Callithrix jacchus: one gene and its partners. The protein of the gene in region 4 purifies or fractionates together with the protein of the main gene of each other region. This does not show direct contact. Links are inferred from orthologs where the notes say so. Each region holds a gene or a part of one and is shown on either strand. Other genes may lie near its edges. The genes, in order: IGF1R, NOLC1, AKT1, ARRB2, TCOF1, SRC and MAPK1.

Evidence for each region.
Region 1: the proteins of ARRB2 (region 4) and IGF1R purify together in Homo sapiens (affinity purification with western blotting; 4 studies listed by BioGRID). This does not show direct contact. The link is inferred for Callithrix jacchus from reciprocal best matches to the Homo sapiens genes ARRB2 and IGF1R.
Region 2: the proteins of ARRB2 (region 4) and NOLC1 purify together in Homo sapiens (affinity purification with mass spectrometry; 5 studies listed by BioGRID and IntAct, counting the BioPlex papers as one, with this or other methods). This does not show direct contact. The link is inferred for Callithrix jacchus from reciprocal best matches to the Homo sapiens genes ARRB2 and NOLC1.
Region 3: the proteins of ARRB2 (region 4) and AKT1 purify together in Homo sapiens (affinity purification with western blotting; 4 studies listed by BioGRID and IntAct, with this or other methods). This does not show direct contact. The link is inferred for Callithrix jacchus from reciprocal best matches to the Homo sapiens genes ARRB2 and AKT1.
Region 5: the proteins of ARRB2 (region 4) and TCOF1 purify together in Homo sapiens (affinity purification with western blotting; 4 studies listed by BioGRID and IntAct, with this or other methods). This does not show direct contact. The link is inferred for Callithrix jacchus from reciprocal best matches to the Homo sapiens genes ARRB2 and TCOF1.
Region 6: the proteins of ARRB2 (region 4) and SRC purify together in Homo sapiens (affinity purification with western blotting; 4 studies listed by BioGRID and IntAct, with this or other methods). This does not show direct contact. The link is inferred for Callithrix jacchus from reciprocal best matches to the Homo sapiens genes ARRB2 and SRC.
Region 7: the proteins of ARRB2 (region 4) and MAPK1 purify together in Homo sapiens (affinity purification with western blotting; 3 studies listed by BioGRID and IntAct, with this or other methods). This does not show direct contact. The link is inferred for Callithrix jacchus from reciprocal best matches to the Homo sapiens genes ARRB2 and MAPK1.

The regions. Positions count from the first base shown.
Region 1 is NC_133507.1:11,008,560-11,012,059, forward strand, and holds part of IGF1R (insulin-like growth factor 1 receptor), read left to right. Parts: intron 1-346; coding exon 347-630; intron 631-2,021; coding exon 2,022-2,158; intron 2,159-2,668; coding exon 2,669-2,828; intron 2,829-3,500. UniProt on the Homo sapiens protein: Receptor tyrosine kinase which mediates actions of insulin-like growth factor 1 (IGF1). Binds IGF1 with high affinity and IGF2 and insulin (INS) with a lower affinity. The activated IGF1R is involved in cell growth and survival control.
Region 2 is NC_133513.1:95,104,652-95,108,898, reverse strand, and holds the start of NOLC1 (nucleolar and coiled-body phosphoprotein 1), read right to left. Parts: upstream 2,801-4,247; 5' UTR 2,779-2,800; coding exon 2,659-2,778; intron 1-2,658. UniProt on the Homo sapiens protein: Nucleolar protein that acts as a regulator of RNA polymerase I by connecting RNA polymerase I with enzymes responsible for ribosomal processing and modification.
Region 3 is NC_133509.1:139,635,017-139,639,044, reverse strand, and holds the end of AKT1 (RAC-alpha serine/threonine-protein kinase), read left to right. Parts: coding exon 1-191; intron 192-613; coding exon 614-701; intron 702-2,094; coding exon 2,095-2,197; intron 2,198-2,507; coding exon 2,508-2,587; 3' UTR 2,588-3,528; downstream 3,529-4,028. UniProt on the Homo sapiens protein: AKT1 is one of 3 closely related serine/threonine-protein kinases (AKT1, AKT2 and AKT3) called the AKT kinase, and which regulate many processes including metabolism, proliferation, cell survival, growth and angiogenesis.
Region 4 is NC_133506.1:106,272,378-106,275,877, reverse strand, and holds part of ARRB2 (beta-arrestin-2), read right to left. Parts: intron 2,461-3,500; coding exon 2,430-2,460; intron 1,540-2,429; coding exon 1,479-1,539; intron 1,366-1,478; coding exon 1,321-1,365; intron 1,104-1,320; coding exon 907-1,103; intron 615-906; coding exon 555-614; intron 189-554; coding exon 121-188; intron 1-120. UniProt on the Homo sapiens protein: Functions in regulating agonist-mediated G-protein coupled receptor (GPCR) signaling by mediating both receptor desensitization and resensitization processes.
Region 5 is NC_133503.1:49,076,971-49,080,470, reverse strand, and holds part of TCOF1 (treacle protein), read right to left. Parts: intron 3,176-3,500; coding exon 3,120-3,175; intron 231-3,119; coding exon 91-230; intron 1-90.
Region 6 is NC_133506.1:32,839,217-32,842,716, reverse strand, and holds part of SRC (proto-oncogene tyrosine-protein kinase Src), read right to left. Parts: intron 2,697-3,500; coding exon 2,620-2,696; intron 1,835-2,619; coding exon 1,681-1,834; intron 1,527-1,680; coding exon 1,395-1,526; intron 1,107-1,394; coding exon 898-1,106; 3' UTR 1-897. UniProt on the Homo sapiens protein: Non-receptor protein tyrosine kinase which is activated following engagement of many different classes of cellular receptors including immune response receptors, integrins and other adhesion receptors, receptor protein tyrosine kinases, G protein-coupled receptors as well as cytokine receptors.
Region 7 is NC_133502.1:193,755,549-193,759,048, forward strand, and holds part of MAPK1 (mitogen-activated protein kinase 1), read right to left. Parts: intron 1,897-3,500; coding exon 1,782-1,896; intron 1,409-1,781; coding exon 1,277-1,408; intron 1-1,276. UniProt on the Homo sapiens protein: Serine/threonine kinase which acts as an essential component of the MAP kinase signal transduction pathway. MAPK1/ERK2 and MAPK3/ERK1 are the 2 MAPKs which play an important role in the MAPK/ERK cascade.

The DNA of each region.
Region 1 (3,500 bases), on a different chromosome or scaffold from region 4:
AACCATAAGATCTGTGACCAGATGGCCTGAGTGTTCTGATGACACAGCCAGGATTGCCCAGCCAAGCGTGGTGGTGACACTGTTTGCCTCTAGGTAGAATTGAAGATCCACTCTGAGAGCCAGAGGTTGGGGGCGAGAGTTTGTGTGTCCATTCTGTCACTTGCAGAGTAGAGAAAGCAAGATAATGAGGAAGGACATCCCCGTGTTATTCACAAATTCGTATCCAAGGGGGCCGAAGAGCTTCCTTTATTCCACGGTTAAGATGCTGCAGTTACCCTTACTCAAGTTGCAGAAAAGACGAAAGAGGTAAAAGCACCTAAAAGCCACATTTCTCTCTTCCTTGCAGACCTGACAGGAAGCGGAGAGATGTCATCCAGGTAGCCAACAGCAGCACGTCCAGCCGAAGCAGGAACACCACGGCCGTTGACACCTACAACATCACAGACCTGGACGAGCTCGAGACGGAGTACCCCTTCTTTGAGAGCAGAGTGGATAACAGGGAGAGAACTGTCATTTCTAACCTTCGGCCTTTCACACTGTACCGCATCGATATCCACAGCTGCAACCACGAGGCTGAGAGGCTGGGCTGCAGCGCCTCCAACTTTGTCTTTGCAAGGACTATGCCTGCAGGTATGGTATGACCCAGCTGGCCCCATTGCCACGTCCCTCACAACCCAGTGAAAATGGTTTTTATGGTCACAGGGTCTGACACCCAGGGCCAAGACCCTTAGTGTCAGGCCTGGCTGCTAAATGGTGTGTGATCATTGGCAGGTGGCATGGTAGACCACCTGCCCAGGGAACAGAGCCCTCGCTCTCCTAGTGACACCACTCCCAGCTAGTTTCTCCATAGAACATGCTGGGAGCAGGGAGCTCTCTGCAGGGCCCACCCTCCGCCTGCTACTTGGTTCACAGCATGCACTCCCACTGCCCTTTGCCCCTCTTGTACACAAATAAATTGAGCTGCCCCCTCCTGAGCTCTCACATATTCAGAGATGTCCCCAGTTAGTGGCCTTGGTCCAGAGTAACCACTGCCCCTCAAGGTTAACTCCTGGAGTAGGCTCCAGTCTTGCTTACTTAGTCTTTGGCTTTCCCTTGTCCGTAGACATTGCCTGTCGCTCGGGCATTGAAGGTGGTTGCCTTCAAAGACAGAACAAGCACTGCCTTGTTCTTGTTTCTTTAGGAGGCCTCAGGCAGTAGAAAGAGCATGGAGGTGATGGGTATCTGGGGCATGGGTTCCTCCTGGCACAGTTCTGGCACTGAAGTGCATGGCAGCATGCCTTGAGGCAATTGTCAGGCTTCCTGCCTCAGTTTCCTTAGCCCTCCTAGGAGAGACATAGCCAGCTGACCCCTCCAGTACCTTTTCCAGCTGTAACTTTCCGTGACCTTTGCTTATCACCTCATTGTTTATTGGTTCAAGAAGCAAAATCAAGAGAGGAACCACTGCAAGGTCAACCAGCAGCTAGAGGAATTGATGCCGGCAGGGAGGCTTGCCCTGCTCTTGGCAGCAGCCTCCCAGCAGCTTCCTCCCAGGCCAGGCTTGAGCCATCCTTTGTGCCTGCGTAAAAACTGCAGTTTCCATGTGTGGCCGCGGGCCACCGAGGGTCCCTGTCATAGCCGGCAGGGCCCCGTGCCCTGCTTCTGCTTATTCAGCATCTCTTCAGGGCTGCTTGGGTTTGGTAGCTTCACAAAGCTTTCTTTTTTTCAAGTGGTAGGCACAGAATAGAAGAAAGTTACTTAGGTTGTCAAGATTTTCCTGCTCTGCTTGGCAACAGGTTTTTTTTGTTGAGGGACTGGGGAGAAAGGAGAATCCTGTGGCATCTTGAGACGTGCAAGTCATGGGGTTGGTGTGATTCTGAACCCTCCTCTATGCTGTGTGTGTGCAGCCTGCTCAGGGGCAGGGTACGTGACTGCTCTCCATAGTCCTGCCCGCGTGGATGGGGGGTTATTCTCAGGTCAGCCCAGTGTTGGCCCCCCTCCCTGGGAACCCAAATCCAACTCTGTCACTTGTTTAAATTGTACAGACGGAGCAGATGATATTCCTGGGCCAGTGACCTGGGAGCCAAGGCCTGAAAACTCCATCTTTTTAAAGTGGCCGGAACCTGAGAATCCCAATGGATTGATCCTAATGTATGAAATAAAGTACGGAGCACAAGTTGAGGTAGGACTGGGGCGGTGGCCTGTGCCTGCGTGCATTTCCATCCGTTGACAGCATACGCTACCTTACTGCACAGGTTACTTCCTGGTTAGCGTAGGATTTAATAAAATATGCACCAAGTTGCTGAGGATTCAGGTCTTTCTACCCACTCCATATACTCCATAAGGAGTACTCCACAGTGTGCAAAGAACTAGGCTGCTCTTTGCCCTCAAGAAACGATTTCATTGTATAAGATAACCTTGTGGCATAGGCCAGATCAGCTCTTAATAACTTTTAATCCTTCTGGAGTTCTTGGTTACAAAAACGTTTGGTTAAAGCTTTTGGGTGTGCTTAAAGCTCCTTGAAGATGACCTTTTAAGACTTGATTTCTTCCTCTTTGCTGACTGTCGGGATCATTGTTAGGTGGGACGTCAGATCAGGCAGCTGGAGTCCCCAGTGCAGTGAGTTCAGTTGGCAGGCCCCAGATTTCTCCTGCGTTTATGGAAAATTGACATGTATGTTTTATTTCCCCAGGATCAGCGGGAATGTGTGTCCAGACAGGACTACAGGAAGTACGGAGGGGCCAAGCTAAACCGGCTAAACCCGGGGAACTACACAGCCCGGATTCAGGCCACGTCTCTCTCTGGGAATGGGTCGTGGACAGAGCCTGTGTTCTTCTATGTCCAGGCCAAAAGTAAGGCTTGTGGAGGGAGAAGAAACGTGGGAAAACTGAAAGCGAGCTGGTCCGGGATGAGGACAGCCCGAGTGTCTGTGGCTCTCGCACTTTCTGTTACAGTCGAGTTGCCGGCTTTCAGAAGGGTCATGCTTAGGTGCCGACAAACACAGGCACCATGTGTGACAGCTTGGGCAGGGCACATGCTGAGCTTTGGGTCCCTACCTCATGTGGCAGGCAGGGAGAGGATCTGAGCCTCTCTTCTGAAATGGCACAGTCACTGGAGAGCCAGAGGAGACCGTTGGTTTCAACCTGGCTTATATGCAAAGACCTTTGTTTTATTAAACGAAAGACATTTTACAAAACTTTGAATTGACCATTCCACCTCCTGCTTGGTCAGTAAAGCTAGATAGGGCTCAGATTCAGGGCTTGAAATCCTATGGGGTTAAAGGAACTTCAGAGGCCATCTGGTTCAGCCTGCTGCAGGGCAGGAATATCCATGAGAGAATCCCAGACCCTGCATTGCTCTTTTACAGCCCCCATATGCATTGGAGATACATGATGCTCACCTTTGGTGCAGACTGAGGAATGGGAGTTTATGCTCAAGTCATTAATAAGACAGAATTCTTAGGCTGTTCCATTTCCTAGAAACAGAGCCTCGTTTTGGGGTCTGTGATCTATGTAACAGCAACC
Region 2 (4,247 bases), on a different chromosome or scaffold from region 4:
GTTCAAGACCAGCCTGGCCAACATGATGAAACCCCGTCTCTACTAAAAATACAAAAAATTAGCTGGGCGTGGTGGCATGCGCCTGTCATTCCAGCTACTAGGGAGGCTAAGGCAGGATAATCGCTGAACCCAGGAGGCAGAGGTTGCAGTGGGTGGAGATCGCACCACAGCACTCCAGCCTGGGTGACAGAGCAAGATTCCATCTCAGAAAAAAAAAAAACTGCATCCAGGCCAGGCGCAGTAGTTCACACCTATAATCCTAACACTTTGGCAGACGGATCACTTAAGGACAGGAGTGCCTGGGCGAGACAGGAAGACCCCCAACTCTCTCTCTCTCTTTTTTTTTTTTTCAGATGGAGTTTGACTCTTGTCACCCAGGATAGAGTGCAATGAGGCTCAATGCAACCTCCACCTCCCAGGTTCAAGTGATTCTCCTGCCACAGCCTCCCGTGTAGCTGGGATAACAGGTGCCTGCCACTACGCCTGGCTAATTTTTTGTATTTTCAATAGGGACAGCATTTCACCATGTTGGCCAGGCTGGTCTCAAACTCCTGACCTCAGGTGATCCACCCACCTCAGCCTCCCACAGTGCTGGGATTACAGGTGTGAGTTACTGCACCCAGCTGAGACCCCCCATCTCTTAAAAAATATATATATTTTAAAATTTTAATTAGTTGGGTGTGGTAGCACACACCTGTAGTCCCAGCTACTTGGGGGGCTTAGATGGGAGGACTGCTTGAGCTGAGGAGTTTGAGGCTGCACTGAGCTGTGATCACATCACTGCACTCCAGCCTGGGCAACAGAGAGAGACCCTGTCTCAAGAACAATGACAGCAAAAAAAAAAAAAGAATTTCATTCAATTATTAATTACACTGATACAGAACATTAACTGATGCAAAAAACTCCAAGACATTCCAGCTACTCAGGAGGCTGAGGCACAGAATCGCTTGAACCTGGGAGACGAAGGTTGCAGTGAGCCAAGATTGCGCCACTGCACTCCCATTTGGGCAACAGAGTGAGACTCTGTGGTACAAAAGAGTTCAGGATCAGTCAGTATACATGTGAACTTATCTTAGGACAAATTACCTAATCTCCCTGAGATTATTTTCTTCTCTATAAAATGGAGATAATACTACACATCTCATTTAAGTTATTGAGAGGATAAGAGAAGGCATGCTGGCCGGGTATGGTGGTTCATGCCTGTAATCCCAGCAGTTGGGAGGCTGAGGCAGGTGGATTTCTTGAAGTCAGGAGTTCAAGACCAGCCTGGCCAACATGGCAAAACCCCGTCTCTACTAAAAATACAAAAAAGATTAGCCACACATGGTGGCAAGCACCTGTAGTTCCAGCTACTTGGGAAGCTGAGGCAGGAGAATGTCTTGCACCCAGGAGGCAGAGGCTGCAGTGAGCAACCTGAGTGACAGAGCCAGACTCCGTCTCAAAAAGAAAAAATGCATGTAAAGGGCTAAGTATCTGAACCTTTGTAAACTCTTCACAAAAGATTAGTTTTTCTCACATAAAACCATTCAGAATCCTAATTCTTAAATGTCCAATTCCATCCAGTCCACTGTGAAAGCACTCTTTGCAGTCACTTAACAGTCAACTCTAAACAGTTCCAATACGAAAGCAGTTACATCACATGACAGCCTGTCCCAGCTTAAGAAAGTTCTTTCTGAGGCTGATCTGATTCTTTGCTTTTGCAGCCTGATCTGCTAAAAGTGCAAGCCATCCTTCTTAGTCCTGCTATCATCCTTGCAAAGGACCCCCTCTCTTTTCTCTCAAGGTGTCTTCCATGCAGGGATATCCGTTGATGGAGATTAAATATCTTTCACATTCCTGGTTGGCGCATCCTAAATTGCCGTAACTATGGTACAACTTTCACTTTTAGAAGATTCCTCGGCACAAGCACTGAGATTGCTACTCTTACACATAATCTTACTGAAACTCACCAAAATCTTATGAAGTGGATGATGACATCCCTGTAGAAAGACTCAGAAAGGTTAAGTAAGCTGCCCGGGTCACATATCTAAAAAGTAACAGAGCCTGGTCCCAAACTTAGGTTGGATTCTATTAGCCAAAGCTCCAAGCCCACTACCATGCCTGCTTGGTAGGGCTGTATATGACGCTCAATTCTCATCAGTGTAACTCAAAACAAAACTCTGCTCCTACTTTCATTCATTTTCTTCTTTACTAACGAAAATCCCAATCTTTATTCTAAAGCAATTTCACTTGCTTTTGAATCCCAGTAAATGCGATTGAGGGTAAGGTCAAATCGCGCTTTACCTCAGCCAACGAAAAGCCCCCCAGAAGAACCAGACGCCTAAGAACCAACGTCCTCAGTGGGACAAGGCGCTAGCTCCCAGCTGCACTATGCTAGCCATGTGACTTCGGGCCACGAGGCTCCCACGTTGCCGCTGTTGTATGGCTCACAAGAAACAAGCAACAAGACTCTGCGCTATCTAGTAAGACCTGGTGGAAGACGAGCGACCGAGGCCCCCAGGCTTTCTCTGGTCACTGCTGAGCGGTCGGCGCAAAGGCCTTGCAGACACTGGACTGGCGGACCCCACAGTCTTCCCCACCTGGAAACCCAAGCACGTCAGGGCCTAAAGCCTTGTGGTCATGACCCAGCCCGCTTCCCGTCCCAAGCCCGGGACTCACAGCTCCCGTCGCTTTGGCGAACTTATTGGCCACCTCCGAGAGTTGGTTATCGCGCAGGAAGCCGAGGACGAGGGGATACAGGTCGCTGGGAACCACGCGGCGCAAGCCGGCGTCCGCCATGCTCCGGGCAAAACGCGTCACTACCGTTGTCGACGCAGCACGACTCAGGAACCCAACAGGGGCAGTGGGAGGGCCTGATTACGTCATTGCGCCGCGCGGTCGCATAGCGGAAAGGGTGGGGCTCCACAGGGCAGTCCCACCTCCGCTTCAGAGGTAGGGTAGACGGGAAATCTAAAAGCTCTTTCCGGTCCCACGCGTATCGCCATCTTGGTCAAGGGCGGAGCCCACCAGCCGCCGGTTTGTAGAGGCGGGGCTCTGACGTCAGAGGTCACGCCCTCGGCGTGGCGGGAAAACTTGGGACTTCCCGCGCTGTCTTTCTGGGGGAGGTACCTTTTCTCAGAGCAGCGGTTTCCCGCGCCCCTGCCAGGATTCGGATTCCAGAGTAATGAGTGGACAAGCGGGCTCTAACAGTCCTTACCCTCTCCAGACTTGGTCACAAGATCTCCCAACCGCCCCAACTGGCGCATTAGCGCTGCCGATGGATTCTCGCCCTTCATCTTCACTGCCTCCAACACTCAGGGAGGCCCTTTCCTCTCTGATACCATCCCAGCCTCCAGACTCGTCTCTACGCAGAAGAGCATCCTTCAAGTTATCCGTCGTGGGGGTGGAAGGTACTGATTTCCCAAGCCGCCCCTCCCACTCCCTTTATATTCCGCCTGTCAGCTCCACGAAGGGGAAAGATGTCATACACCAAACCTGAATCACACACCTCTTCAAGCTGAAGAGACTTGAAAATAACCCTTCTTCCTCCGATATCAGAGTTCAAACTCTCCCTTTGTCATGAGTAACTCCAATATCAGTGCTCAGACCTACCAAGTGAATTCCAAGTTCTGCAATACTTCAGATCATATTAGCAGTTAGCAATCCTTTCAATCCTACCCACTACCCCTTGGCTACCTCCCACTAATGCAGTTCAGGAAGGATAAGGATCCACTTCCTCATGGAACACTCCCCTCTCCTATATAAAACTGGCCAGGCACAGTGGTTCACACGTTATTCCAACACTTTGGAAGGCCGAGGTGGGAGAATCCCTTAAGCCTAGGAGTTAGAGGCCAGCGTGGACAACGTAGTTAAGACACACACACACACACACACACACACCACCCTGTATCTCTACAAAAAAATTTTAAATTAGCCAGGTGTAGTGGCATGCACCTGTGGTCTCAGCAAGTTGGAAGGCTGGGGCAGGAGCATCTACTGAACCAGGGAGATGGAAGCTGCAATGAGTTATGATCCTGCCACTGCAATCCAGCCGGGACCGCAGAGTGAGATACTCTCAAAAATCAAAACGCTGGGCACAGTGGTTCACACCTGTAATCTCAGCACTTCGGGAGGCCAAGGTGGGTGGATCAACTATGGTCATGAGTTTGAGTACAGTCCTGGCCAAGAGTGAAACCTTGCACCTACTAAAAATACAAAAAAAAATTAGCCAGGTATGGTGGCAGGTGCCTGTAATCCCAGCTACTTGG
Region 3 (4,028 bases), on a different chromosome or scaffold from region 4:
CGCGCGGTGGACTGGTGGGGGCTGGGCGTGGTCATGTACGAGATGATGTGTGGCCGCCTGCCCTTCTACAACCAGGACCACGAGAAGCTCTTTGAGCTCATCCTCATGGAGGAGATCCGCTTCCCACGCACGCTCGGCCCTGAGGCCAAGTCTTTGCTGTCAGGGCTGCTGAAGAAGGACCCCAAGCAGAGGTGAGGGCCACCCACCCCAGCTGCAGGCTCTGCCTCCACCCCTCACCCCCAGTCTGCAGCTGCCCCTGCGCGAGGGGGTCCTGGCACCTTCCAGACCACGCTGATGGCCATAGCTTGATGTCCTTGGCCAGGGTTGATCTGCCAAAGCCCCAGGCCCAGGCAGAGTGGCTAGACAGGCCAGGGCATTTGAGCCTCTGTCCCCAACCCTGCAGCCCCCACACCCACTTGGGACACCCCTGCCCTGCTGTGAGACCTGGGGTGCTTCGCTACCCACAGCTGCTCAGATGCTGCACCACTGGCTCCCCTCCCCAGCCCCAGAATGCCCTGTCCAATGGGCCGTGTGTTACAGCAGGAGGAAGGGGCCTGAGCCTGAGGCCTGGGGGTGGCAGTACCAACACTGTGGCCTTGTTTCCTGCCCACAGGCTGGGTGGGGGCTCCGAGGACGCCAAGGAGATCATGCAGCACCGCTTCTTTGCCGGCATTGCGTGGCAGCACGTGTACGAGAAGAAGGTGCGGCCAGTCCCCGCGTATCCACACGCACATGGCACGCTCGTGGCATTCCCACACACTCATGCCCTCACCTTGGGAGCCTGTGCAGCCCCCCTGCACCAACCCCAGCGCCTGGTGCGCAGAGGGTCTGGCACTGCTGAGTTCGTCAGGAAACTGACCTGGTCCTTCTCACTTCCTCCTGCCCCTGGAGGTGTGTCACACCAAGTACCAGCCTTAGGGGTCGCTTCCCTGAGGCTGCGCAGGGAAGGCTGGCTGGTGGTAGACCAGGAGTGCTGCCCCTTGCTCTCCACCAGTTCCTCCTGTTGTCTGACCTCAGCCCCTTCTGCTGCAAGGAGAGCCCAGCCCTACTCTCTGGCTGTGCAGGGGCAGTTCTGGCACTGTCCAGAACTGTAGACTGGGGGAGTCCACCCTGGAAGGAGGGAGCTCTTTCTGACTGAGTTGCCATCTTGGAGGCTCATCTTTCAGGGACCCCAGGAGCCCTGGCCCTCATCTTGGCTGATGGGTCTGCAGCTGGGTTCAGAAGCCCACACTCTGGGTGCTGGGTGCCATCACCAGGTGTGCTTCTGACCACTTCCCAGCCTGCCCCTCCCTGAATGCCTGTCCTAGGCCACGTGCAGCTGGCTGGGCTGGGCAGCGCTGGGACCCAGCTGGGTACCTGTCCTCCCATCAACACGGTGCCCCGGCCTTGGTCCCAGTTCCTGCCCTGAGGCCTGCCATCCTCCAGCCCTGCCCTGCCCTCCAAGGGAATGGTGGGGCCTGGGCAGTGCTCAGCCTCTGCCCATCCTTGCCCAGAGACTTTGCTAATTGACAGTGGACAGTGCTGGTGCCCAGGCCAGACTCTGAGATGGGGCAGTGCTTGAGGGGGTCCTTGACTGTGGGACCCGAGGGGCTCTGTGGCAGCTCCTTCTTCACTCTTGATCCTGGGTCATCAGGAGTCCTCTCTGCAGCCAGATGCCAGCAGGCTGCCATCCTGTGGTCCCTGAGCCAGGAAGGAGGCAGGGCGGGCCCACCCTCTGCACCTTGTTCCACAGTCTCTCTCCTTCCCAATTTACAAGAAGACCAATAAGAAAAACGAGAAAGAAAAAGGAAATAAAGTCATCACCTACTGGTGGCAGAGAGGCCCTCTGAGAGCTGGGCTGCACTACCTCCTGTCGCCTGTGGGGGCTGCTGTGAGGGCAGCTTGTGACTCCGCTGACCAGGGTGTCTTCGTGCTCCCACTCCTCATGCCCCTCCCTTCCAGAGCTGCCTCTGTGGGGGGCGGGGGCCGGTGGCTTGTCGCTTCTGACATCCAGGCTGCCTGGAGACCCCCTGGTGATCCGGCTGCTGTGAGGGGCTGGGGATGCTGGGAGTGGGTAGCAAAGCTCATGACGGTCCCATCTGCCCACCTCTGCAGCTCAGCCCGCCCTTCAAGCCCCAGGTCACATCGGAGACTGACACCAGGTATTTTGATGAGGAGTTCACAGCCCAGATGATCACCATCACACCACCTGACCAAGGTGAGGGCCACTGTGCCTGCCCCGCCCGCTCCCTTTTCTCTCCACTCAGAGGCCTGCAGTGTTCTGCTTTTTTGGCTTCAGATCTTTTAATACCTAAATTTTTAAAAGATTCCTTTGGAGAGTGCCAGTGTTCAGGGTGGAAGGCAATGCTCCAAGGGCCCAGGTCCCCGGGTCGAGCTTTGGGGCCTCAGTTTCCTGGTGGCATGGCAGCCTGTTGGCTGTGCTTTGAGAGGCTGGCTCCCTACTGGAGCTGTGGGCAGGTGGAGGTTCGGGGAGGTGGGGCCCGAGTCTGAGCTGTCTACACCCACAGACGACAGCATGGAGTGTGTGGACAGCGAGCGCAGGCCCCACTTCCCCCAGTTCTCCTACTCAGCCAGCGGCACGGCCTGAGGCAGCGCGGATGGCACTGGACCAGTTTGGAGGGATGGAGAGGCAGCCTCGTGCCGTGATCTGTGTTGAATGGGTTTTATTTCTTGGTGCATTTGAGAGAAGCCTGCCGTCCTCCCGAGCGCAGATGGAAAGATGTTCTGTGCTGTGGGCGGCACCCTCCCTCGCAGCGGGGTAGGGAAGAAAATTGTCCTGCGGGTTTTAATTTATTTCATCTGATTTGTTCTCTGGATGTGGCCTCAGCCCTCAGAACAATCCAGTTTTGCAGCTATGCGCAATGTGGGGTGGGGGGCCGGGCAGGTCCTTCCGCTGGGTCCCCTCACTCCATCAGCCAGCCGCACGGGCTGTCACCAGCTGTCTATCATCTCTCTGTGGCCCTGGGCCTCACTTCAGCCTGGCGGCACCAGACGCAACCTCACTGTGGCATGCCCGGCACCCTCCTGGGGGAGGCAGGCACACGGCAGCCCCCAGCACCAGGGCTGTGTCTCTGAGGACGTCGGAGGCTGGGCCCCCTGGGAGGGGACCAAGGATGGGAGATGGGCCAGGGTTTGCCCAGTCGGACAGAGGGGCAAGGTTTCAATTTGTTATTCTGTATCATGTTCAAATGCATTTTGGGGGTTTTTAATCTTGGTGACAGAAAAGACCTCCCCCTTCCCCCTTCTGTGTCAGAGTTCTTGGTGACTGTCCCACCAGGAGCCTCCCCTCAGATGACCTCTCCTTGATAGCACTTGACCTTTTCGACGCCGAACCTTTCCGCTGCCGCCCCAGGCCCGCCCTGACTCCCTCTGGGGGGTGACCGTCCCTGGGCCCTCCACACCCCTCCCAGCCAGACGCTGCCGCTGCTGCTGCACCATGGCATTTTTTTACGACATTCAACTTTAGTATTTTTACTATGATAATATGAAACTTGCCCTCCAAATTCTTCAATAAAAGTTGCTTTTCAAGTTTTTGGCTCACTTTGCTGGGTAGAGGAGTGCGTGGCCAGGGAGGGAGTGGGGAGCCCTAGGAGGGAACCAGCATCCTCAGAGCAGCTGGTCTTGCTCCTCTCCTCCTGTGGGCACCACCACCCCAGCAGGTCTGGGGACAGGCTTCGTGGTGGGCTCAGGGAGTCTGCGGGCCTGTGGCGAGATGGGAGGCCCTGGCTGGCCCTGCCCCCTTGGAACCCACCTCTTCTTCCCTTGACCCCACCCAGCTTCACCCCAGCCAGGAAGGAGACCACTGGACTATGGGCATCTGCCCCCCAGCCTCAGCTGTGGTTCCCCTGGGTGGGGCAGTGAATGAGACCCTGACCACCAGGAAGGCTCGGAGCTAGGGCCAAGATCATGGCCTGGGCCACAGTGGAAGAAGGGCCAGGAGGCCTGAGTGGCTTGTTCGAAGTTGGACAGAGCGGGAGGAGGGGCTGCGGGGGGGGAGGGAGGAGGGGCTAGGCTGGGTCCCAGGTTGC
Region 4 (3,500 bases):
GGCAGGAGGGGGTCAGTCCTCACACACCCAAACCCCTACTCCTCCCTCCCACGGGGCCTGGGCTCCTGGAAACGGGGAGGAAACCCCCCTCTATGCCACAGAGGAGGTTGTTTCCCTCACCTTTTGTGGCTTTTCTCTTCTAGTGATTTAGCACAGAAGGCTCGAATCTCAAAGTCTACGCCGCAGGCCTCGGGAGGGGGAGAAAAGGCCACATCTCACCCAGGGCTCCCACCAGCATCGCTCCCCTTCCTTCCTCTCCCTTCCCTCCACTTGGGCAGGGACTCTTCTGTCATTGTGGTCTGACGACCTGGGGGACTAAATCATGGTCGTGCAAGGGGAGCCCCATCCCCAGATCCACGCAGGTCCAGAGAGCAGGCGGCAGTGTCACGCATGCACAGTCACCACATCATACACACCCCACTTCCATGGGGGACACTGGCTGACCTTGGCCCCACCCTGGCATCCTGACAGTTTACCCTCTGGCTCAGCGGTGCCTCCAGGCTCCTATTGGCCCCATCCTGCCCTAGGAGCCCTCAGAGCCATTCCTCCCATACCTTCCCCGTATCCTCTGGTCCTGGCTGCAGTGTGACGGAGCATGGCAGATTCTGGGGTATCTGTGGCAGAGGAAAGGGAAGACTTCAGTTCTTCCAGAAAGTCCCCAGATCTTCCTCCAAATCTCAGGAGGCTGGAGAAAGGACTCCTGGGGAGGAGAAAGGAAGAAGGAAGGGGCCCTAGAGACGAGGCAGAGAATCTAGGGCTTCCTGAATGCACTGGGACCCTGAAGGGGGGTGGATCCAGGGTTCCTGCCTCACTGTTTCTTCCAGATCTGCCCATAATGGGTACCTTACCCCCACCCCAGACACAGTCCCAGACCCCTTGCCCTCAGAGGACAGAGGGCGTCCTCACTGTGAAGAAGAAGGGGTGGGCATGCTGGCCCAGCTTCCTCAGCAGCCGGTCCTGCAGGCGGGTGGGGGGCCGGGGCGGGTTGGGCACTGGGGGGAAGGCCTGGTAGGTGGCGATGAACAGGTCTTTGCGGAAGGACAAGCCCAGGACATCCAAGTCTTCGCGGCCATAGCGGAAGGCGCAAGTGAGGGTCACAAACACTGGCAAGGGAAGTCAAGATGAGTGGTCAGGACCTCCCTTCCCCAGTCCCCTGGTACCTAGCAGCCAAGGCCCCTCCCTCTGCAGCATGAGACTTGCTCAAATCCTACTTCTGGCTTCTACCTCCAGCCTCCCTCTCTCTGGGCACCCTTCCAGTGCCAGCCCATTTCACTTCCCTACCCTCTACTTCCCCTGGGTCCCTGGACTTGGAGCCAGTACCTTTGCGGTCCTTCAGGTAGTCAGGGTCCACAAGCACCACGCCATCTAGGAGGGGGACACACCAGCTCACTTCCTGAAAGGGCAGCTCCCCCATGTCCTGGGCCTGGGAACTTCTTCCCCTCTTGGGGAATGAGTTGCCCCTTTCTGGGGAAACTTACCTACAGGGTCCACTTTGTCCAGGTGATCTACGAAGTCCCGCTTGCCCAAGTACACGGTCAGCTGAGGATGTCAAGGGGTCACAGGAAGATTGGGGAGGATGGTGCCAGGGCATCAGAGCCCTCAATACTGACTGCCTTGCCCCAGGATCCCCAAGCTGGGCTATAGGGAGTTTCTCCAGGTTTTTTCCCAGTAGTGTTAAAAAGGAGGGTGGCGGCATTTCTCAGGCTAGCAGACCTTTAGGCTTTTTAACTGCTCCCTAATCTCTGCACACCACTGCCCACCAGCCAGGTGGGCAGGTGTGTGTGTGTGTCCTTAGCCCAACCAGCCAGATGTATGTGTGTATTTGCATCCTCAGGGAGGACTCTGCCAGCTAGGGGTGTGTGTGTGTGTGTGTTGCATGCATGTGTGGTCTGTGAGTGTGTGTCATGAGTGTGTGTCTTTGGATCCTCAGGGAGGACTCAGCCCAACCAGCCAGGTACGTGTGTGTGTGTGTGTGTGTGTGTGTGTGTGTGTGTGTGTTTGGATCCTCAGGGAGAACTCAGCCCAACCAGCCAGCTAGAGAGCAGCTGCCACCCTCACTATGTCCCCTCAAGGGGCTCTAGGATAAGCAGGCCACAGCCTGGGTGGGGGCTGTTAACTCTTCCCAGGGTGGCGCACCTTGGGTTGGCCCCTAGGAGGGCTGTAGGCACATGGCTTGCTTCTGGCCTCCTCCTCTGTGGTCTTGCTTGGGGACCCGGGTCTGCCCCACCCAGCCCTGTGGCTGGCTCAGGTTGAGCAGCCTCTGTGGCAAGGGGCTTCAGGAGGGAAGGAAGTCAGCTCTTAGCTGTCACAGGAAGTGGGGAGCTAGGGGTTGAGGATCATCTTGGGGCAGGCTGGCAATCCTTTAGGGGAAGGCTGGACTCTGTTGGGGCCCAGGGAGGGTGAAAGGGATAAGTGCCATGGAGACTCACCTTGCAGTTAGGACTTGACTTCTTGAAGACCCTAACAAAACAGAAAGGGAAACCCCACTGCTTCCCTCAGACTCAGCAGGCACCCCACACCAGGACCCTGTCCCTCCCAGGCCTGGGAAGCAGAGCTCACCCAGGACTCCTGCCTGAGGCTGCAGGGCTTTGCCCAGCTCTGCCCCTTTCCACTTCTTCCTGTAAAGTCCTTCCTATTTCTAACATGACAGCAAGGAAAAATGCCCCTTCTCTTGTCCACCCTCCTTAGTCCCCTTCCCTCCCTAGTAATGGCCACTGATTGCCCTAGGAACCACCCAGGCTCTTCCCCAGGCACCCGAATGGGCAGGTTGCCGCAGCATCTGGGTAAGACCTAACCATCTTTCCATCGGGTCTACAGCTCCAACAGCTGGAGCATATAAGAGAGCAATGACCCTGGACTTTGACCCTCAAATGGTTTCTACCATAGGCCCTAGCCCAGTTCGACTCTATCCATTCACCTCCAACTGTCCCCATCTCCGACCTTAGCAGCTTAAAAGCCTCTTTGTCTTTTAAGGTCCAGCCTTTAGGAAGCTGACCCAGCCCAGACCCTGGTCACTCCTTGTTTTGGGTTCCTGGCTCAGTTTGTTTATGTTTTACTTGTGGTGTGGCAGGACACAAGGGCAGTTAGCTGCCTCCCTCCTCAGACTGTGAGCCTTAGAGGCCTTATTCATTTAGGCATCTGCAGCACACTGCCAGCCACATGATGATGATGATGATGATAATGCTGGCTAACATTACAGGGTGGGTACTCCATGCCCAGCACTGTTCCAAGTGTTTCAAACGTGTTATCTCTTTTAATAATCTTTTCTTTTGAGACAGAGTCTCACTCTGTCGCCCAGGCTGGAGTGCAGCGATGCAATCTCTGCTCACTGCAACCTCCACCCCCTTGGGGTTCAAGAGATTCTCCTACTTCAGCCTCCCATGTAGTTGGGATTACAGGAGTGAGCCACCACGCCTGGCTATATTTTGTGTTTTGAGACTGAGTCTCACTCTATTGCCCAGGCTGGAATGCAGTGGCGTACTCCTGGCTCACTGCAACCT
Region 5 (3,500 bases), on a different chromosome or scaffold from region 4:
TTCTAGTGATAAGAGAAGAAGCTGGAGGTAGACTCTACCCTAGAACAATCAATATTCCATAGCCTGTTCCCAAAGCTGCAAGGCTCTTACTGGCTTTGGTGGTTTCAGCTTCTGCCTCCTCTTCCTCTTCCGAGCTCTCTGAGGTGCTAATGGGGTCCGACACTCGGGTCTTCTTAGCTTGTAGAGCCGCATCTTCCTCTGCCTTCCGCTTCCGGCCAAGCTCTGAGGTTCTGCAGGACAAGGGTGACTGTCTATACCAACTGGGCGACAGAACAACTCCACAAGGTTTGACTACACAGACCTTCCCGCATCCTTCTGGCTCTTAATGGCAATGTGCATGGAATGTAAACAGTGGTGAAAACACCGTATAGACACAATTCTGTATTCCGCATTTTCCCTCAATTCATAAAGTGCTTTCACAATTCTTGATTAGTCTTGAAAATAATCAGGAATGCCAGATAATGTTATACAACAGTTGCAGCAGCTATCAGTCTCTGTAATAGGAACTGACCCATGCAGGCACCTCACAGAACCACCCAGGTGCTTCCTCCTGCAGAACGTGCTGTGTGTGCTGTGCCTTCTGGGAAGACTGCCCACATCCTTGTCCTTCATGTCTCAACTTTAATGCAGCCTCCCCAGAGAGGTCCTCGATGATTGCCCGCCGCCCCCAAGGCATGCTCTGCCCTGTCGTCCTGTTTCGTTTTCTTCAGAGCTTTTCTCTACCTCCTATTATTTTACTTACTTCCTAGACTCTTCCCCTACACAGAAAGGCCCAAGGAGCGGGGCTGCTGGCAGCTCACTACAACATCCTCAGTGTCTAACAAATGTCTCAAAAACTAAACAACTGAGTGACTTGCTCAGGGAAAACAAAGTCTGGGGCATGGGTAGGATAAGCACCTAGAGAGCTGAGCCCCTGGACTTGCAAGTAACATCCCCATTGACCCCCATCCCAGGGAATCACTGTCTAGGCCCCAGGTTTCCCAGCTGTGATGGACACTGCTCTGTCATAGCTTGGGATATGCTACTTGGGTTCCTTGTTCCCAGGAAAGCCACTTGTCAGGATTCACCTGTTAAAAACAGGTTTCATTTTAACATGTTATCAATTTATTCTGCTTCTTTTCCCCCAATAAAAATGTTGAGCATGGAATTTTACTCTGGTTTGTTCCCAGCTACATCAATAATATTGCCTAGGTTGTAGTAGGTGCTCAATAAATACTGAGGCAGGGGGGAAAGCCTCCAATCAGTAGTTTTTAGTACTTTATATAGACCACTGTGTCTAACCCTAACAATGCAATGAGATCATTGCTATCATTATTTCCATTTTACAGATGAAGACACAGACTCACAGAGGCCAAGAAACCCACTCAAGGCAATACAGCTAGTTGCTGGATTTGAACTCTGCCAGGAGTTGCTAGGCTAGGCTGACTGTGGTGGGTGTAAGGTCCTTGTCCCACTCAGCACCCCTCACCCAGCGAAGGGGCCGGTGGCGGGGAAGGGTGTAAAGAACAGCTCACTAAAGCAGTTTTTTGGGGAAGGGAAGTACTACAAGTAACACTCACACATCTGGGCAAGTCAGAGAGGCCCTGTGCTCTAAGCCCTCCTCAGCAGTAGAGGACAGCCAAGAACTGAGGGCTGGCAGGGTTTTCAACCATCTTAGCTCTCTACTAGAGGCTGCAATCCCTTCCACACCATTCCTTTGTTTACAAACCTCTAATGACAGGGAGCTCACCACCTCCACTGTAGCCCACTTCATTTTTAGACAGCTCTGATGAGCAAGTCCGTATATTCAGAAGCTGAAACCTGTCTTCCTAAAGCAGGTCCATTTGGGGCCCACTTCTGTCTCCAGGGCTTCAGAGAATGCACTATTCTTGGTCCTCAAAGATGTGCAGTGGTGCCTCACATCCCTCACCTGCCTCCTTGTCATCTAAGGCAATTCTATACTCTGCACCATTCCTCAGGGGATATATCTTCACGTCCTTCACTCCCTTATTCAGCTGTGGTCAGGCCAGTGCCTGATGAGAACACAATTACTCTCTCCATTTTCAAGCCATTCCTCTGTTGATGTATCCTTGGATGAGTCCCCCTTCCTTGAAGAGTACTTAAGTTTTACATGTTTAAAAGGCATCTCACACTCAACATGTCATTGAAATCTTTCCCTGCAAACTGGTTTCCCTTCAAGCTCTATGCATGGATACATAAGCCAGACATGGAGTCAATCAGATACTTCCTCTCCCATCCATCCATGGGCCCTGGTTTCATCCCTGTGACTCCTAGAATCCACTGTCTACCCTGTTACCCCCGTCTCAAGCCCCATCAGCTCTTGCCTGGATGACGGTGTCCACCGACTAGTCTCAACATGGTGCAGAGCAGTCAGCTCACTTTCTCACCCTGCCATGGCCCCAGCTGCTCTTGGGTAAAGACAAAATTCCTCACCATGGATAACCAGGCCTCGCATGGCTATCCACGCGATAATCTAGCCTCACCTGTACTGTCCACCAGCCACAGGACTGAGCATTAGCAATTTCCGCTGGCAGGTACCTACTGCATAGTACCTATTGCTGCTCTATACCTACTGCATAGCTCACTCTCCCAATTCCTGCAGCTCTCAAGTCAAAGATCATCTCAGGGAAGCTTCCCCTGGACCTCCAAATGAAGTGTCTGGAAGCTTACCCATTTATGTGGCTGTGGCAACAGGTTCTTCTCTCTTGTAATCCTTACTACTACCGTAATTTTACATTCATTTGTTTCATTCTTTGACTCATGCCTCCTTGACTACAATGTCAGCTGCAGGAAAGAAGGAACCATGTCTGTCTCACTTGTGACAATACATGCATACTAAGTAAGAACAGGACTTGGCTTTTAGGAGGTAATCAATAAATGCTGATCAACTGAATAAACAAGCTGGTTAGAAGCTCTTGTTCTTAAGAGATCACAGCTCTCAATGTCCCCTCCCACTACCAGATATCCCCATTCATGTGCTGTGACCGGCTTTCTGGAGGCAACAATGGTGTCCACAGTGAGCTATAGGGACAGATCTTAGATCAGACAGGTATCCCAGCTTATTCCACACTGATTTGCTTGGGGTGTCCCTACTCCACCCTGTCAGCCCCACCACTTACTGTTGCCAGTGTGTATAGATGTCCAGAAGGGTTACGGGCTGAGCCAGGAAACACTTCTGCAGAGAGGTAAAGAGAAAGCCACAATTAACCCCCAGCACAGTAAGGGTCCTCCTTGGGCCCAGCTCTCCCCAAACTCATGACTTGCACAGATAGGTGGTTTAGAAGAGAGTCTTTTCGGCTGGGCATGGTGGCTTACACCTGTAATCCTAGCACTTTGGGAGGCTGAGGCAGGAAGATCGCTTGAGCCCAGGAGTTCAAGACCAGTCTGGGCAACATAACGAGACTGTCTCATGTTAAAAAAAAATTAGCTGGGAATGGTGGCATGCACTGGTGGTCCCAGCTACTCAGAAGGCTGAGGTGGGAGGATCACTTGAGCCCAGG
Region 6 (3,500 bases), about 73 Mb from region 4:
CTTTCACCCTGACTCCCAGCTCAGACCCACATCTGCCTCCATGCTGTTCCCCAACAGCCCGGCCGAGCAGGCAGCGGCAGTGCGATTCTGCCATCTCGAACGCATCCTCAGATCCCTTGTCCCCTGGGTTGTCCCAGTCTTTTCGTGATGCCTCCCACGAACTGTTGGTTCCTGAGGAAGACAGAGGGAGCACCGGTTCCAAGCCGCCTCCACTCTGAACTGCTCTGTGGCCTTGGACACGTCACATCCCCTCTCTCGACTGTCTCCCCATCAGTGAAATGGGGGCAAGGAAGTGATGATCTCCAAAGGTGCCTCAGGTCTAAGGAGGCAGGGTTTGAGGGGTACTCATCCTACTGCCCAGCCTGGGAGCAGCGGCAGAGGATCCATCTCGGCTGCCTCTGCCTACAGGTGTTTCCAGAATGGATGGCAAGGGGCAGGATGGTGAGCAGGCGGGGCCAGGGGCCCATCGCTCCTCTTTGGAAAGGCTCTTTGGCCAGCTCTCGAGACAGATTGGGGGTGGCACGGAAGTGGGCAAGGAGTTCAGTGAGTGGAGTAGGCTGAGGCTGGAAAAGGCCATCCTCAGGCCCGGCCCCAGCCCTTCTCCCGGTTCCTCCTCCAGAGACCCACAGAGCTCCAGGAGGGAGTGCAAGGAGGGGCGTGTGGCTAGAGTGGGCGCTGGACAGTCACTGTGCTGGTCTCACACGCCTGCCGCCCTCTCAGGCCACCCTAGGTCCGGAAGCCCCTTCCATGCCGCCAAAGAGGGAGGGGCCTCGAGCCTGGCAATTCAGCCCCACAGAGAGAGGACCAACAGCAGGCAGGCAGAGCAGGGCGAGCCCCAAGACAGGGGCCACCCAGCCCAGGATCCAAGCCGAGAAGCCAGTCTGGGCCCGCCCGTGCCTAGAGGTTCTCTCCAGGCTGGTACTGGGGCTCAGTGGACGTGAAGTAGTCCTCCAGAAAGGCCTGCAGGTACTCGAAAGTGGGCCGCTCCTCAGGCTCTTTCCGCCAGCACTGGCACATGAGGTCGTGCAGGGACTCAGGACACTCGGGCGGGCAGGGCATCCGGTAGCCCCGCTCCACCTGGTCCAGCACCTCTCGGTTCACCATCCCTGTGGGCAGAGTGAGGCATGGGAAGCCTGGCTCCAGTAAGGAAAGTGGGGTGCGGGAAGCTGATGGGGAGGATGGTGAGGGCTTCCTGCCTAGGCCAGGTTGGGTGCAACCATGGGTAGGTCCCGTCCCCGAAGCTGAGAGCATGGACCATCAGGAGAGCCTAAGATCAGGTGCTCAACTTCTTTGTTGTATGGATGGGGAAACAGGCCCAGCAGGAGTCAGGTCTTACCCAAGGCCACCAGGGCAAGGGCTCAGGGACTAGAGACGGGCCGGGAGGACCTTCTTACCAGGGTAGGGCACCCGCCCCTTTGTGGTGAGCTCCGTCAGCAGGATCCCGAAGGACCACACATCCGACTTGATGGTGAACCGGCCATAGAGGGCAGCTTCCGGAGCCGTCCACTTGATGGGGAATTTGGCACCTGCAGGAACGAAAAAGGTCAGGGCAGCTCTGACCTGTCGTGACTGCTCCACCAGGTGAGCACCATGAGGAATGACAGATAAGGAAACTGAGGCTTGGGAGAGGACGTGACCTGCCCCAGGCTGCACGCCCCGTGCCACGAAGCCCCTGCCCACCTTGCCGGGCTGTGTACTCATTGTCTTCGATGAGCCGAGCCAGCCCGAAGTCGGCCACTTTGCACACCAAGTTCTCTCCCACCAGGATGTTGGCTGCACGAAGGTCCCGATGGACGTAGTTCATCCGCTCAACATATGCCATGCCAGAGGCGATCTGCAGGCAAAACCATGGGAGCCCAGCTCAGGTGCCACCCATGCCCTCCCAGGACCACAGGGCACCCAGGGCTGGAGAGCCATCCACCCCTCCCCCACCATCCCATGCTTCTTCAGGCAAGTGAGGTCAGTTCACGGTAAATGCTGTTGGCATCAAAAGCAGGAGCAGTGCTCCGCAGGAGGAGGGAGCACAGGGGCAGAGGGGAGAGAGCAAAGGGCAATGGGGAGGCCCGAGATCAGATGCAGCCAGGAAAGTGAGGTGACCATGGAAAGAGGCCCCAGCGGACCCAGACACAGACAAGTGGACAAGTGCCATGCCCTGCCTGCTGCCCAAGTCTCCTCTCTGAGCCTGTTTTCTCATCCATCCAATGGGAATAATAGCCAATCCTCGTCACTCCTGATGAAAAATGCTTGTCAAGCACTGCCTAAAGTCAGCACAAACACATGTCTGCTGAGTGACTAAATGACTATTGAGATGACAACTGAGTACATCAGTTGTACTGATGTACAGGGGACCTCGGGCCTCAGTTGTCATCTCTATAAAGGTGACCCCTGATATTAGTCAGTGACCCCTGATGCCCAGGTAAGGGCTTTCTGCTGCCCAGAACCACCGCTTAGGGTGCCTGTAAGTGGACCTGGTAAATACGTGTGGCAAGATCAGTGAGTGTGGGGGTAATCAAGGCAGGCTTCCTGGAGGGGGCACTCAAGAGGCCAGAACTGGCTGCACCAGATGGGTCTGGGTGCTTGAGGACCAAGGGTGTGGGGAGAAGGGAGGGGCTGACTAACCTGAGCAGCCATGTCCACCAGCTGAGGCAGCCGCAGGTACTTGCCCGTTTCCCCCTTGAGAAAGTCCAGCAAACTCCCTGGGCAGAGAAAGACCCAGCTCCAGTTCCTGCCCTGTCCCTCTGCCAGGATGCAGTGATTCCCAAACCTGTCCTCCCAGGTGGCTAGCCTTGCTATAACCAGCACAACAGATTTTATGTAAACTCATCTCTCAATAAAGTGCTTGTCACTCAAAAGGCAAGCAGGTTGGGAAACGACCAGATGCGCACCTCCAGGTGAACAGGTAAACTGTGTTAATGCGGACAATGGCGTCCTGCTCAGCGACAACGGGAACTAACTGCTGGGAGATGCCACAGGGACGCATCTCAGGCTGGGCACGGTGGCTCCTGCCTGCAATCCCAGCACTTTGGGAGACCAAGGCGGGAAGATCATTTAAGCCCAGGAGTTTGAGACCAGCCTGAGCTACACAGTACAAAAGATATAAACAAAAAAAAAAATTAGCTGGGCGTGGTAGGGTACACCTATAGTCCCGGCCACTTGAGAGGCTGAGATGGGAGGATCAATTGAGCCTGGGAGGTCAAGGCTGCACTGAGCTGTGATCACGCCACTGCACTCCAGCCTGGGCAACAGAGTGAGTCCTTGTATCAAAAAAATTTAAAACATTTAAAATTTAAAAAGTTAAAAAAAAAAGGATGCATCCCAGATGTAAAATATTTCATGTATGAAATTCTTGAATAAACAAAACAGATTGATAATGACAAAGTATATCAGTGGGTGCTTGGGTTTGGGGTTGGAGGGTGCTGTCTGCAAAGGGCCCAAGGAACTTTCTGGGTGATGGGGCTGTTGCTATCCCCATTATGGTGAGAGCACACAGTAAACCCACT
Region 7 (3,500 bases), on a different chromosome or scaffold from region 4:
TAGCTGCCTAATATATTTAACAGGTATGCATTAATAAGGAATAAAGGATAATACAATTATTTAACAAAGCTAACCTGAAAAAAAAGGATAAAAATGGAATGTAACTATTTTCTTTTACAGTTGCTCTAAAATATCTCCACCTAACCTAAGGTCATGAAGATTCTCTTGTTTTCTTCTTGAAGGTTAATAATTTTAGGTCTTATATTTAGGTTTATGGTCCATTTTTAGTTTTGCAAATTTTGCATATGGTTGTCTAATTGTTCCAGCACCATTTCTTGAATAGACTGACACAAGCAATGAAATGAATTTTTCTAAATCTCAAATGCAGTATGCTGAACGTGAGAATCTAGACATAAAAAGGTTACATACTCTATGATTCCATTAATACGACATGCCGGAAAAGGCAAAACTATAGGGATAGGTATCAGATCAGTGATTGCCAGAGATGGGTTAGAGAGGGACAACCGACTACAAATGGCACAAGGCAACTTCTGAGGATGATGGGAATATTCTGTATCTCAATTGTGGTGGTAGTTACATGACAGTTTATGTTTACTAAAACTCAATAGGCCCACACAACTAAAAAGTATGAATTTTATTCTGTGTAAATTATTCTTCAATAAACCTGACTTTAAAAACTATCAAGTGACAAGATAAAAAGGTGTAATTTGTTTGCAGGGTCCTAGACTTCCCTAAAAGTGTGACCTTAGGCTGGGCATGGTGGCTCACACCTGTAATCCTGGTACTTTGACAGGCTGAGGAGGGCAGATCATGAGGTCAGGAGTTCAAGACCAGCCTGGCCAGCATGATGAAAACCGTCTCTACTAAAAATACAAAAAAATGAGCCGGGCATGGTGGTGGGTGCCCGTAAGCCCGGCTACATGGGAGGCTGAAACAGGAGAACTGCTTGAATCTAGGAGGTGGAGATTGTAGTTAGCTGATATCGGGCCACTCTACTCCAGCCTAGGTGACAGAGCAAGACTCCATCTCAAAAAAAAAAAAAAAAAAAAAAAAAAGTGACTTTAGTGCAAGTTAAAATTAACAAAGAAACCAAAAGGTGGAGAACTAGACGGTCATTACCAGGCTCCCTTACTGCACTGCCACTGTTTCCAAAAAAAAAAAAAAAAAAAGGGAGAGACAGTAATTCAGAGTGAGCACTAAAGAAAGCATTATCCAATAGCTACAGGCTCACTTTTCAGGCTAGTGACCTAACAACTGAACAAATAAATGCGAAGCTAAGCCTTAGAAAAAAACTAATCAACGACATAACATTTACCTTTCGAGTCAGCATTTGGAAACAGCCTGTTCCATGGCACTTTATTTTTGTGTGGAAGAGAAAGCAAATAGTTTCTAGCTTTTAAATTTATTATACAATTCAGGTCTTCTTGTGATGGGGATCCAAGAATACCTATCAGATAAAATAATTAGCTGTTAGTTATCAAGACAAAGGCAAATGACTACACACCATTAACTGTGGGTCAGAATGAACCCTGGTAATTAATGTCTTATCACCACTCCCAAAGCTTACCTTTCTCTTACGTTTTTACACAGAAGTCCTTAAGACTTTTTTTTTTTTTTTTTTTTTAAGGTCAGTGTCCAGGAAAGACATTGGTTGGGAGGTTATTTGCTTAACATTTTTAATAAGGGAAGGCTAAAAATTCACACCTACCACAGGCTAAAGAGTTATTAGAACTCTTCTTAATTTAATGAAGTGACTTTGATGTAAGCTGTAGGCAGGCAAAGTGAGTAAATCTAGCTACTGAAGGGCTCGGGAACCTTACCCAGAATGTGGTTCAGCTGGTCAAGATAATGCTTCCCTGGAAAGATGGGCCTGTTAGAAAGCATTTCTGCCAGAATGCAGCCTACAGACCAAATATCAATGGACTTGGTGTAGCCCTGTAGGAGAAAGAGAAAAGACTGAGAATGATATCTGGTCATACAGGATGAGATCTTCCTGTGTGACAGGTGCATTGCTGATGGGAGTTTGAACTTCTCCGTTGACTCTAAAACTCAGACAGACAAGTAAGCAGCATGGAAAAACAAATAATAATTTGGCTTTCTTATGAGAGGCTGAACAGTTTAAGATTATGTGATTTTATTTTTCTCTTCAAAGTTGATTAACATGGGCCAGGCGTGGTGGCTCATATCTAATCCCTGCACTTTGGGAACCCAAGGCGGACAGATCACTTGAGGCTAGGAGTTTGAGAACAGCCTGGCCAACATGGTAGAACCTCGTTTCTACTAAAACTACAAAAAAATTAGCCAGGCATGGTGGTGGGTGCCTGTAATCCCAGCTACATGGGAGGCTGAAGCAGGAGAATCACTTGAACCTGGGAGGCAAGAGACTGCAGTGAGCCAAGAGCATGCCACTGCATTCCAGCCTGGGTGACAGAGCAAGACTCATCTCAAAAAAACAACAGTTGATTAACTTGTTAGATTAGAATTTCCAAATTATACATCAGTCCTTTTTTGAAACAATTTGAGAGACAGATTCAGAATTGTCATAAATTGGAGCTGGAAAAAAAATTTAAAAAGTCTAAAAACCTGGATTTCTGGGTTGGGGGGAAGTATGTGCTAGCTCCATCATATTTTACCAATCTCTTATTAAAAATATTCTCACCCCAAAACCTAAAATGCAATAAAAAAGAAAAAAAAAATATTCTCAGCCGGGCACAGTGGCTCACGCCTGTAATCCCAGCACTTTGGGAGGCCAAGGTGGGTGGATCACCTGATGTCAGGAGTTCGAGACCAGCCTGGTCAACATGGTGAAACCCTATCTCTACTAAAACTGCAAAAGTTAGCTGGGCACCTGTAGTTCTAGTTAGGAGGCTGAGGCAGGAGAATCGCCTGCATTGAGCCAAGGAGGCAGAGGCTGCATTGAGCCAAGAACTGCACCACTGCACTCCAGCCTGGGAGGCAGAGCAAGACTCCATCTCAAAAAAAAAAAAAAAAAGAAAAAAAAAAGAGTTCACTGATATGATTTCAGATTCCACAATGCAATTAACCTTTAAGAAACTACCACTTGTTCAAATTGGGGGTAGTATCAAAGAACAGCCATAAGTAGCTGAAAAAACTACTAAAATTTCCCTCCTTTTATCAGCTACATACCTGTGTGAAGTTTTCCTTATTAACTTAAACCAAAACAACATATTTGACAGACTGAATGCCAAACCAGATGAGAATCCAACTGTAAGCCAGACATTAAACAGACTTGCAAAAATAAAAACAATGCCACTCTTCTCACTAAAAGTTTTTTATTTTATTTTATTTAAAGACAGGGTCTCACCCTATCACCCAGGCTGGACTGCAATGGTGTGATCATGGTACATTGCAGCCTCTATCTCCTGGGCTTGAGAAATCCTCCCATCTCAGCCTCTTAAGTGACTGGGACCATAGGTGCATGCAACCACGCCCAGATGATTTAAATTTTTTTCCTTTTTTTTTTTCAGATGCATTCTCGCTGTGTCACCCAGGCTGAAGTGCAATGCCTCGATCTCAGC